Linked DNA regions of Canis lupus familiaris. The protein of the gene in region 1 binds, or shares a complex with, the protein of each later gene. Links are inferred from orthologs where the notes say so. Each region holds a gene or a part of one and is shown in the gene's direction. Other genes may lie near its edges. The genes, in order: PSME4 and PSMB10.

Region 1 (2,601 bases):
AGGGGGCACTTGGGTGGCTCAGTGGTTGAGCATCTGCCTTTGTCTCAGGTTGGGATCCCAGGGTCCTGGGATTGAGTCCTGCATCAGGTTCCCCATAGAGAGCCTGCTTCTCCCTCTATGTCTCTGTGTCTCTCATGAATAAAGAAATAAAATCTTTAAAAAGAGAGCAAGAGACTGTTTTAGGATCAGGAATTGTACTTTTGCATAAGATATGAATTGATCAAAACTATCATTATGTAAGTTCTAGCAAATAGGTGACACATTTCTGACCTGTCATATGATGTGTCATTGAGGGTCAGCTATAGGATGTCTTTAGTTCAGCCTCAAAATCATGTTTTTGGTGTGTGTGTATACAGATGCATTTTTATTTTTTTTTAAGATTTATTTATTCATGAGAGAGAGAGAGAGGCAGAGACATAGGCAGAGGGAAAAGCAGGCTCTACACAGGAGCCCGATGTGGGACTCGATCCCAGATCCTGGGATCACAACCTGAGCCGAAGGCAGCCACCCAACTGCTGAGCCACCCAGGCATCCCCAGATGCATTTTTTTTTTTTTTTGTTTTTGTTTTTTTTTTTTTTATGATAGTCACAGAGAGAGAGAGAGAGAGGCAGAGACACAGGCAGAGGAAGAAGCAGACTCCATACACCGGGAGCCCGATGTGGGATTTGATCCTGGGTCTCCAGGATCGTGCCCTGGGCCAAAGGCAGGCGCCAAACCGCTGCGCCACCCAGGGATCCCCCCAGATGCATTTTTAATGCAGAAATTCACACTTTGGAAACAATTAGATTAATCAAAAACTAGTTCTATTTTACCATAACATGTGCCAGAGAGTCCTATAAATATTCGCACATTTATTGGCGGAGTTTTTTTTTTTTTTTTTTTTTTTTTTGCTCTGTTTTTCAGAGTTGGTCAAACGTCATGCGGGGGTGCTAGGACTTGGTGCATGTGTTCTTTCTAGTCCCTATGATGTTCCCACCTGGATGCCCCAGCTCCTTATGAATCTCAGTGCACATCTGAATGATCCGCAGCCTATTGAGGTAAAATTCTTCCGTATTAGTTTCTATGCCTACGTATTTTATCAGTGATGTTTTGTAAGAAATCATTTTACTGGTAGTTTCCTGTCACTCTGGACCTTCTGCTTTGATAGAGCTGCTGCCGCTCCTGCCTCTGCTGGGGCTAAGCCTACTCAAGTAATTAGTAACATCTTGTGGAGGGAGGCCTTGTTTTCATGTATATTTGAGATCTTTTGGTAGCAAGGAAATACTAAAGCTTCTGTCTCTCCCAGTCCAGTAGAAGTAAAATATGTCAGTGTTGTCAGGATAGTTCATCTTCTTTGGTTTTACTAACATTTTATATCTAGGAAGTGTCTAACGGGGAGCTAATACTAAAAAGGAAATTGTGATGGTATTATTTTGAGAACAGCTGTGTCTAAATGACTGACGAGACCAATGGCTTTGTGCTTCTCGCTTTGGTAAAGAGCTATAGGTGTGTCTTGAAACTCGTTTCATAATGCGGTGTAAGGGCCAGTAGCCTCTCCCCGAGTGCAGCTAGTCACTTTAAAGAGGTGGCCCGGGTGGCCCAGCAATTTAGCGCAGCCTTCAGCCCATGGTGTGATCCTGGAGACCCGGGATCGAGTCCCACGTCAGGCTCCCTGCATGGAGCCTGCTTCTCCCTCTGCCTATGTCTCTGCCTCCCTTTCTCTCTGTCTCTCATGAATAAATAAATAAAATCTTTTTTTAAAAAAATGAGCTTTGGGAAGTTACAGTTGGCTTGTTGGTTTTGCAGCACTCGGTGAGATCTGAAGTCTGGAGGGATTTTTACTTGGCTGAAGTTATCCTCCTGAGTATAATCCTAGTCTTTGAGAGGTTAAAGTAAAATGTGTGTGGGTTGCTCCTCTACAGATGACTGTAAAGAAGACCTTATCCAATTTCCGAAGGACGCACCATGACAACTGGCAAGAACACAAACAGCAGTTCACAGATGACCAGCTGCTCGTTCTCACCGATCTCCTTGTGTCACCGTGCTATTATGCATAGAAGGGTAAGTCAGCAATATTCGGGGTTTCAGGAAGTCTGACATCCTTGGCAGATGTCATGGGTTTGATGATTGAGAAGTGACTGCTCATAAGTTTTCTTTTTGCTTACATTCTCAGCTGTCCTCCTTATTTAGACAATTAAAAAAATTTTTTTTAATGCGACCTATGCTATGACCAGTGGAAGTAAGTTCCCTGAGAACTTTTCCCTGCTTCTCTGCTTCAGGTATCAAGCAGAGAATTGAAGTGACTGCTTTTGGACGTTTATAAACGAGTAGGCTTAGTATCCTGCAAGTGGTTAAAAGAAATTTTCTTTGTTGCCTGCTGAGTGGGGCCTAAGCGTTTTGGGTCGCCCAGAAAACCCTAGGTCCTATACAGTCATGAGAACATTTCATCTGAATTCTTAAGTATTTATTTTCCATCCCGAATTAAAGAGGAAAACCCAGAAACCTTTCCGCTAGGTTAAGAAAAATAAAGTAAATTTCACTTATTGGGCTTTAGAGTTGGATGTCCTGTTGTCTGACTGAAATTTTTTTCCCTCCCTGATACAGATGAGTAGTCCTCACTT
Region 2 (4,592 bases), on another chromosome or scaffold:
AGATCTTCTTTTGCTCTCTAAGCCTTGATGTGTATTGTGGGTTGGGGAGGAGGCACTAGAGTCCATATAGCAGGCCTCACTGAGCAGTAGCCATAGGCCTGGTGCTTTGTGGAATATAAGGGCAGGATGGACTTCGGTGAAGCCTGGGCTTGAACTGGGAACCCTGAGATGTCTAGCTTCCCACTCTCCTGGTTGAGCTGTTGATGTAGCCTGCCTCTGCTTGGGGGATGGGGGACTAGAGGTAGCTGCACAAACAGCTGTGGGATGGAGGCATTTGGAGCCAAAGTGCAGAGCAGGGAAGATGTGAGCTGTCCTGCCCACTCTCAAAAGGGCAAGTGGATTCCACCTCTAGACAGGGTCTTTTTTTTTTTTTTTTTTTTTAAGGTTTATTTATGAGGGGGCAGTGGAGGGCAAAGAAGATCTCAAGCAGACTCCCCACTGAGCTCAGAGCCCACCGCAGGGCTCGATCCCACAAACCATGAGCCAAAATCACAAGTCAGATGCTCACCTGAGCCACCCAGGAGCCCCCCTAGACAGGGCCTTTTGAGGGCTAAGTGGATATCAGAAGCACAAGAGTTTTTAGAATCTGAGGGAGAAACAGCCCCTAATCAGATCATTTCTCTAATGATGGTGTAATTAAGGGAACTAAGTGGTCTGAGAGAAAAGTTTAGGGAGCACCAAAGGGCTGAGTCTTGGGGGGTCAGGGAAGGCTGCCCAGAGGGGATGGTGCCTATTCTGAGATCAGACGGGATGAGAAAGGTCATGTGGGCCGCTATAACTTGGGTTTTTTTTTTTTTTTTTAAGATTTATTTATTTATTCATGATAGACATAGAGAAAGAGAGAGAGAGAGAGAGGCAGAGACACAGGAGGAGGGAGAAGCAGGTTCCATGCCGGGAGCCTGACGTGGGACTCGATCCCAGGACTCCAGGATTGCGCCCTGGACCAAAGGCAGGCACTAAACCGCTGAGCCACCCAGGGATCCCCTATAACTTCGGTTTGAACCTAAGAACAATAATGCAGTTGCTGAGGGGGTTAACCAGATTTTCAATCTAGGAGACCCTTCTCTGGAAGGTAAAGCTAGCCCGAGGCAGGGACTGAGGAGCGGGAAGCTTGGGGAAGCCAGGAAAGGCAGTGCGGTATCCAGAGGGGACAGGATGCTCGCGGAGACTAACGCGGTAGTTAGGAGAAAGCTGCCAATAGATAAAGGGTCATTTGGGAGGTGAAATAAGGCTTGGCCATGGGTAGAGCCCAGCATGCCTCCAAGCCACGAGATGGGCAGCCCCACAGCACCCCTCTTGTGAGAGGGAAGATAGCACCCGAGACACGGAAGGTCACCATGTGTCACCACGGTGGATAGAGCCTTGGTGTTTCAGATTTCAGGGAGGAGGCAAAGGCAACAAAAGAGCTGAGGGAGAAAGGGCGCCATAGGACAAAAGGCAGCCATGCCTGATGCTGTCGGGAGGCCAGGACTAGACACCTGGCCAGTGTGACAGCCTCAGGATTGAGGGACTTGAAGTCAGAGCTGGGATCGGGATCCTCAAAGCTAGGGCTCAGGCTGGAAGGCGGAGGAGCTGCTAACATCCCCCGACCCAGGCCTGACCCAGATGGAGCTGTCTGTCCCTCTGTACAGACTGAGGACTAGGGAGCAGGATGGAAAGCCAAGCGAGGACATCTCCCCTTTGACAAGCTGCCTGGGACCAGAGGCAAAGGTGAAAGTGAAAGAAGATGCAGAAAGGGGCCAGCCAAGCTCAGGAAAGGTGAAAGCGAAACCAGGAAGCCCCGGACCAGCCAGGCGGGTGCGGGACAGAGGACCCGGCTTGGGCCTTTCTTGCTCCCCGCTGGTCGCACAGAGACCCCCAACCCCTGGACCACCCTGCCCACCTGGAGATGCTGAAGCTGGCGTCAGAGCCCCAACGGGGCTTCTCCTTCGAGAACTGCCAGAGGTGATGGGGGTGATGGTCTAGAGCTGAGCTGCTATGCTCTCCCCGAAGGCCTCGGGCACCGACACTCCAGGGCCTTTATTCCCGGTGGGGGCGGAGGGGCGGCAGGGTGTGCTGGGCGACTTGGGTTGCCAGGCTCCCGCCGCTAGACGCGGGCGAGGCTGGGACGTAGTTGGAGGATGTGATGCGGCCCCAGAACCCCAACCTGGGCCACTCCACTCCGTTTCCAGAAACGCATCCTTAGAACGCGTCCTCCCGGGGTTCCGGATCCCTCGTGCACACAAGACCGGAACCACCATCGCGGGCCTCGTGTTCCGAGTGAGCAGGGACTTGGGCCTGGGGGCTTGGAGGGGCTGCTGGGGGATCCAAAGCCACTGGGCCAGCGACCCTCTCCCACCAGGATGGAGTCATCCTGGGCGCGGATACGCGGGCCACTAACGACTCGGTCGTGATGGATAAGAACTGCGAGAAGATCCACTTCATCGCCCCCAAAATCTAGTGAGAAATCCCCAACCCCGACCCCCTACTCAAGACCAACCCTGCCGCCGGCCCCCCCGCCCCCCGCCCCCGGCCCCTGCTTCTCCGGGCCCCACCCACACCGAGCCTCCACTCGTTCTCAGCTGCTGTGGGGCTGGAGTAGCCGCGGACGCCGAGATGACCACGCGGATGGCGGCGTCCAACATGGAGCTACACTCCCTGTCCACGGGCCGCGAGCCCCGCGTGACCACGGTCACGCGCCTTCTGCGCCAGACCCTCTTCCGGTGCTGGGGCCGGGCTCAGGCGGCCCCGGGGACGGGCGCGGCCGGGGGGCGGGACTGAGGGGAGCTGGGCCGGGCGGGGGCGGGGCGGCCAGAGCCGGGACCGGAAGGGGCCGCCCCAGGAGGAGCCGGGCGGCCGGAAGGAGCGGCGCTGCCCCGGTCGCCAGCACAGGAAGGGGCGGGGCCCGGGCCCGGAGGCGGGGCTGACCACGCCCACTCCCCCCAGGTACCGGGGCCACGTGGGCGCGTCGCTGCTGGTGGGCGGCGTAGACTTCTCGGGACCGCAGCTCTACAGCGTGCACCCGCACGGCTCCTACAGCCGGCTGCCCTTCACCGCCCTGGGTGAGCGCTTCTCCCCTTTCCCTGCGGCCCTGGCCTCGCGTTCGTCCCGCGACTGGGTGGCCACGACCGACCTCAGATGCCCCTCCTGCCCGCAGGTTCCGGCCAGGACGCCGCGCTGGCGGTCCTGGAGGATCGGTTCCAGCCGAACATGACGGTGAGCAACACCTGTCCCCCACGACGTGTTCACTGACGGGAAGCGCACGCGGGAGTTGGGGTAACACACAGGGATCCTAGTAGAGGTCAGGGAGGGCTTCTTGGAGGAGGTGACGATTGAGTGGAGGCCGAGGGGCCAGTGGAATCAGAATGAAGTAGTGCTATTCCAGGAGACGATCATCAGCGCCAGAGTTTGAACTGCCCGGAGAAGTCAAAGCTCAGGACCATGTGAAGCTGAGGGAGGAGGGAACGGCAAGTGGGGTCTGGAGTCCCGATTCTGTTTGAGGTGGGATGGAAGTGAATGACAGGTGTTGCTTCAGAGGCGCCTAAGGCCCGGAAGTGAAAGAGCAGTGAGCTGGTAGTTTGGGGACCGAGACGCATTGGTTGGGGGGACAATCCTGGAAGCAGAACCGTAAGTGTAAGAGAAGTTTGTGAACATGGGACAGTGAGACAGTCTCTGGAGAGAACGAGGCAGAGGCCAGGGCAAGGGAGTCTGGGCTGGCTGGGGGAATAGGGAATAGGGGTCTGGGTAGGAGCAAATGGTAAATAGTCTGGGCTTTGAGATGAGCAGAAACCTGTAGGCTGTAGGCTGAAGGGCGCCAGCAGGGTCCGGCAGGTCTCCCCCACACGTATCGTCACAGCTAGAGGCTGCGCAGGAGCTGCTAGTGGAAGCCATCACTGCTGGGATCCTGGGTGACCTCGGCTCCGGCGGCAGTGTGGATGCATGTGTGATAACGGGGACCGGCGCCAAACTTCTGAGAACATTAAGCTCCCCCACAAAGCCCACAGAAAGGTGGGAACTTGGGAAATGGGGAGACCACTGGGGAGGATGGGGCAGTAGCAGGGCAAATGGGGGACTGCAAGATGGACTATATGATGGGCCCAAATTGAGAGGCTGTCCTTCCCTTCTCCCAGACCCAGCCAGTACTACTTTGCCCCTGGGACAACAGCAGTCCAGTCCCAGACAGTGAAGCCACTGACCCTGGAGCTGCTGGAGGAAACTGTGCAGGCAATGGAGGTGGAGTGAAGTGGGATGATGCTTAGGGCTTGGAACAAGGAGGAATAAACATAGAAAATAGAAAAACACCTAAGCAGATGGCTGTGTCGTTCCTGGGTGGAGAGGGGACAAGCAGCCATCAGGACTCTGGCTAATGTACACCTGCAGGTGCCACTCCCTGCCGTGGCTCCAGTGCCTGGCCTAACAGGTGGCTTCACCCATCACCTCAGGCATCTACTCCTCCGGAACCCCAGCCCTAGCAAGCACGGCAGCTACAGGAGGGGAGCCCCCTGCCGACTCCACACTGCAGAGGTCCCCTGCTGCTCCAGTGCCTTGCTCTTGCCCTCTAGTCCACCTGGGAATGTTGTGAAGTCCAGAAGGCCCCCTGCACTGCCCCCGCC

The links.
Region 2: PSME4 (region 1) and PSMB10 share a complex: the UniProt entries of both Homo sapiens proteins name them as parts of the spermatoproteasome. The link is inferred for Canis lupus familiaris from reciprocal best matches to the Homo sapiens genes PSME4 and PSMB10.

What each region holds. Positions count from the first base shown.
Region 1 is NC_049231.1:56,139,727-56,142,327, reverse strand, and holds part of PSME4 (proteasome activator complex subunit 4), read left to right. Parts: intron 1-904; coding exon 905-1,038; intron 1,039-1,902; coding exon 1,903-2,037; 3' UTR 2,038-2,041; intron 2,042-2,584; 3' UTR 2,585-2,601. UniProt on the Homo sapiens protein: Associated component of the proteasome that specifically recognizes acetylated histones and promotes ATP- and ubiquitin-independent degradation of core histones during spermatogenesis and DNA damage response.
Region 2 is NC_049226.1:82,145,175-82,149,766, forward strand, and holds PSMB10 (proteasome subunit beta type-10), read left to right. Parts: upstream 1-1,748; 5' UTR 1,749-1,888; coding exon 1,889-1,944; intron 1,945-2,171; coding exon 2,172-2,259; intron 2,260-2,341; coding exon 2,342-2,439; intron 2,440-2,561; coding exon 2,562-2,702; intron 2,703-2,925; coding exon 2,926-3,041; intron 3,042-3,136; coding exon 3,137-3,195; intron 3,196-3,835; coding exon 3,836-3,987; intron 3,988-4,109; coding exon 4,110-4,221; 3' UTR 4,222-4,280; downstream 4,281-4,592. UniProt on the Homo sapiens protein: The proteasome is a multicatalytic proteinase complex which is characterized by its ability to cleave peptides with Arg, Phe, Tyr, Leu, and Glu adjacent to the leaving group at neutral or slightly basic pH.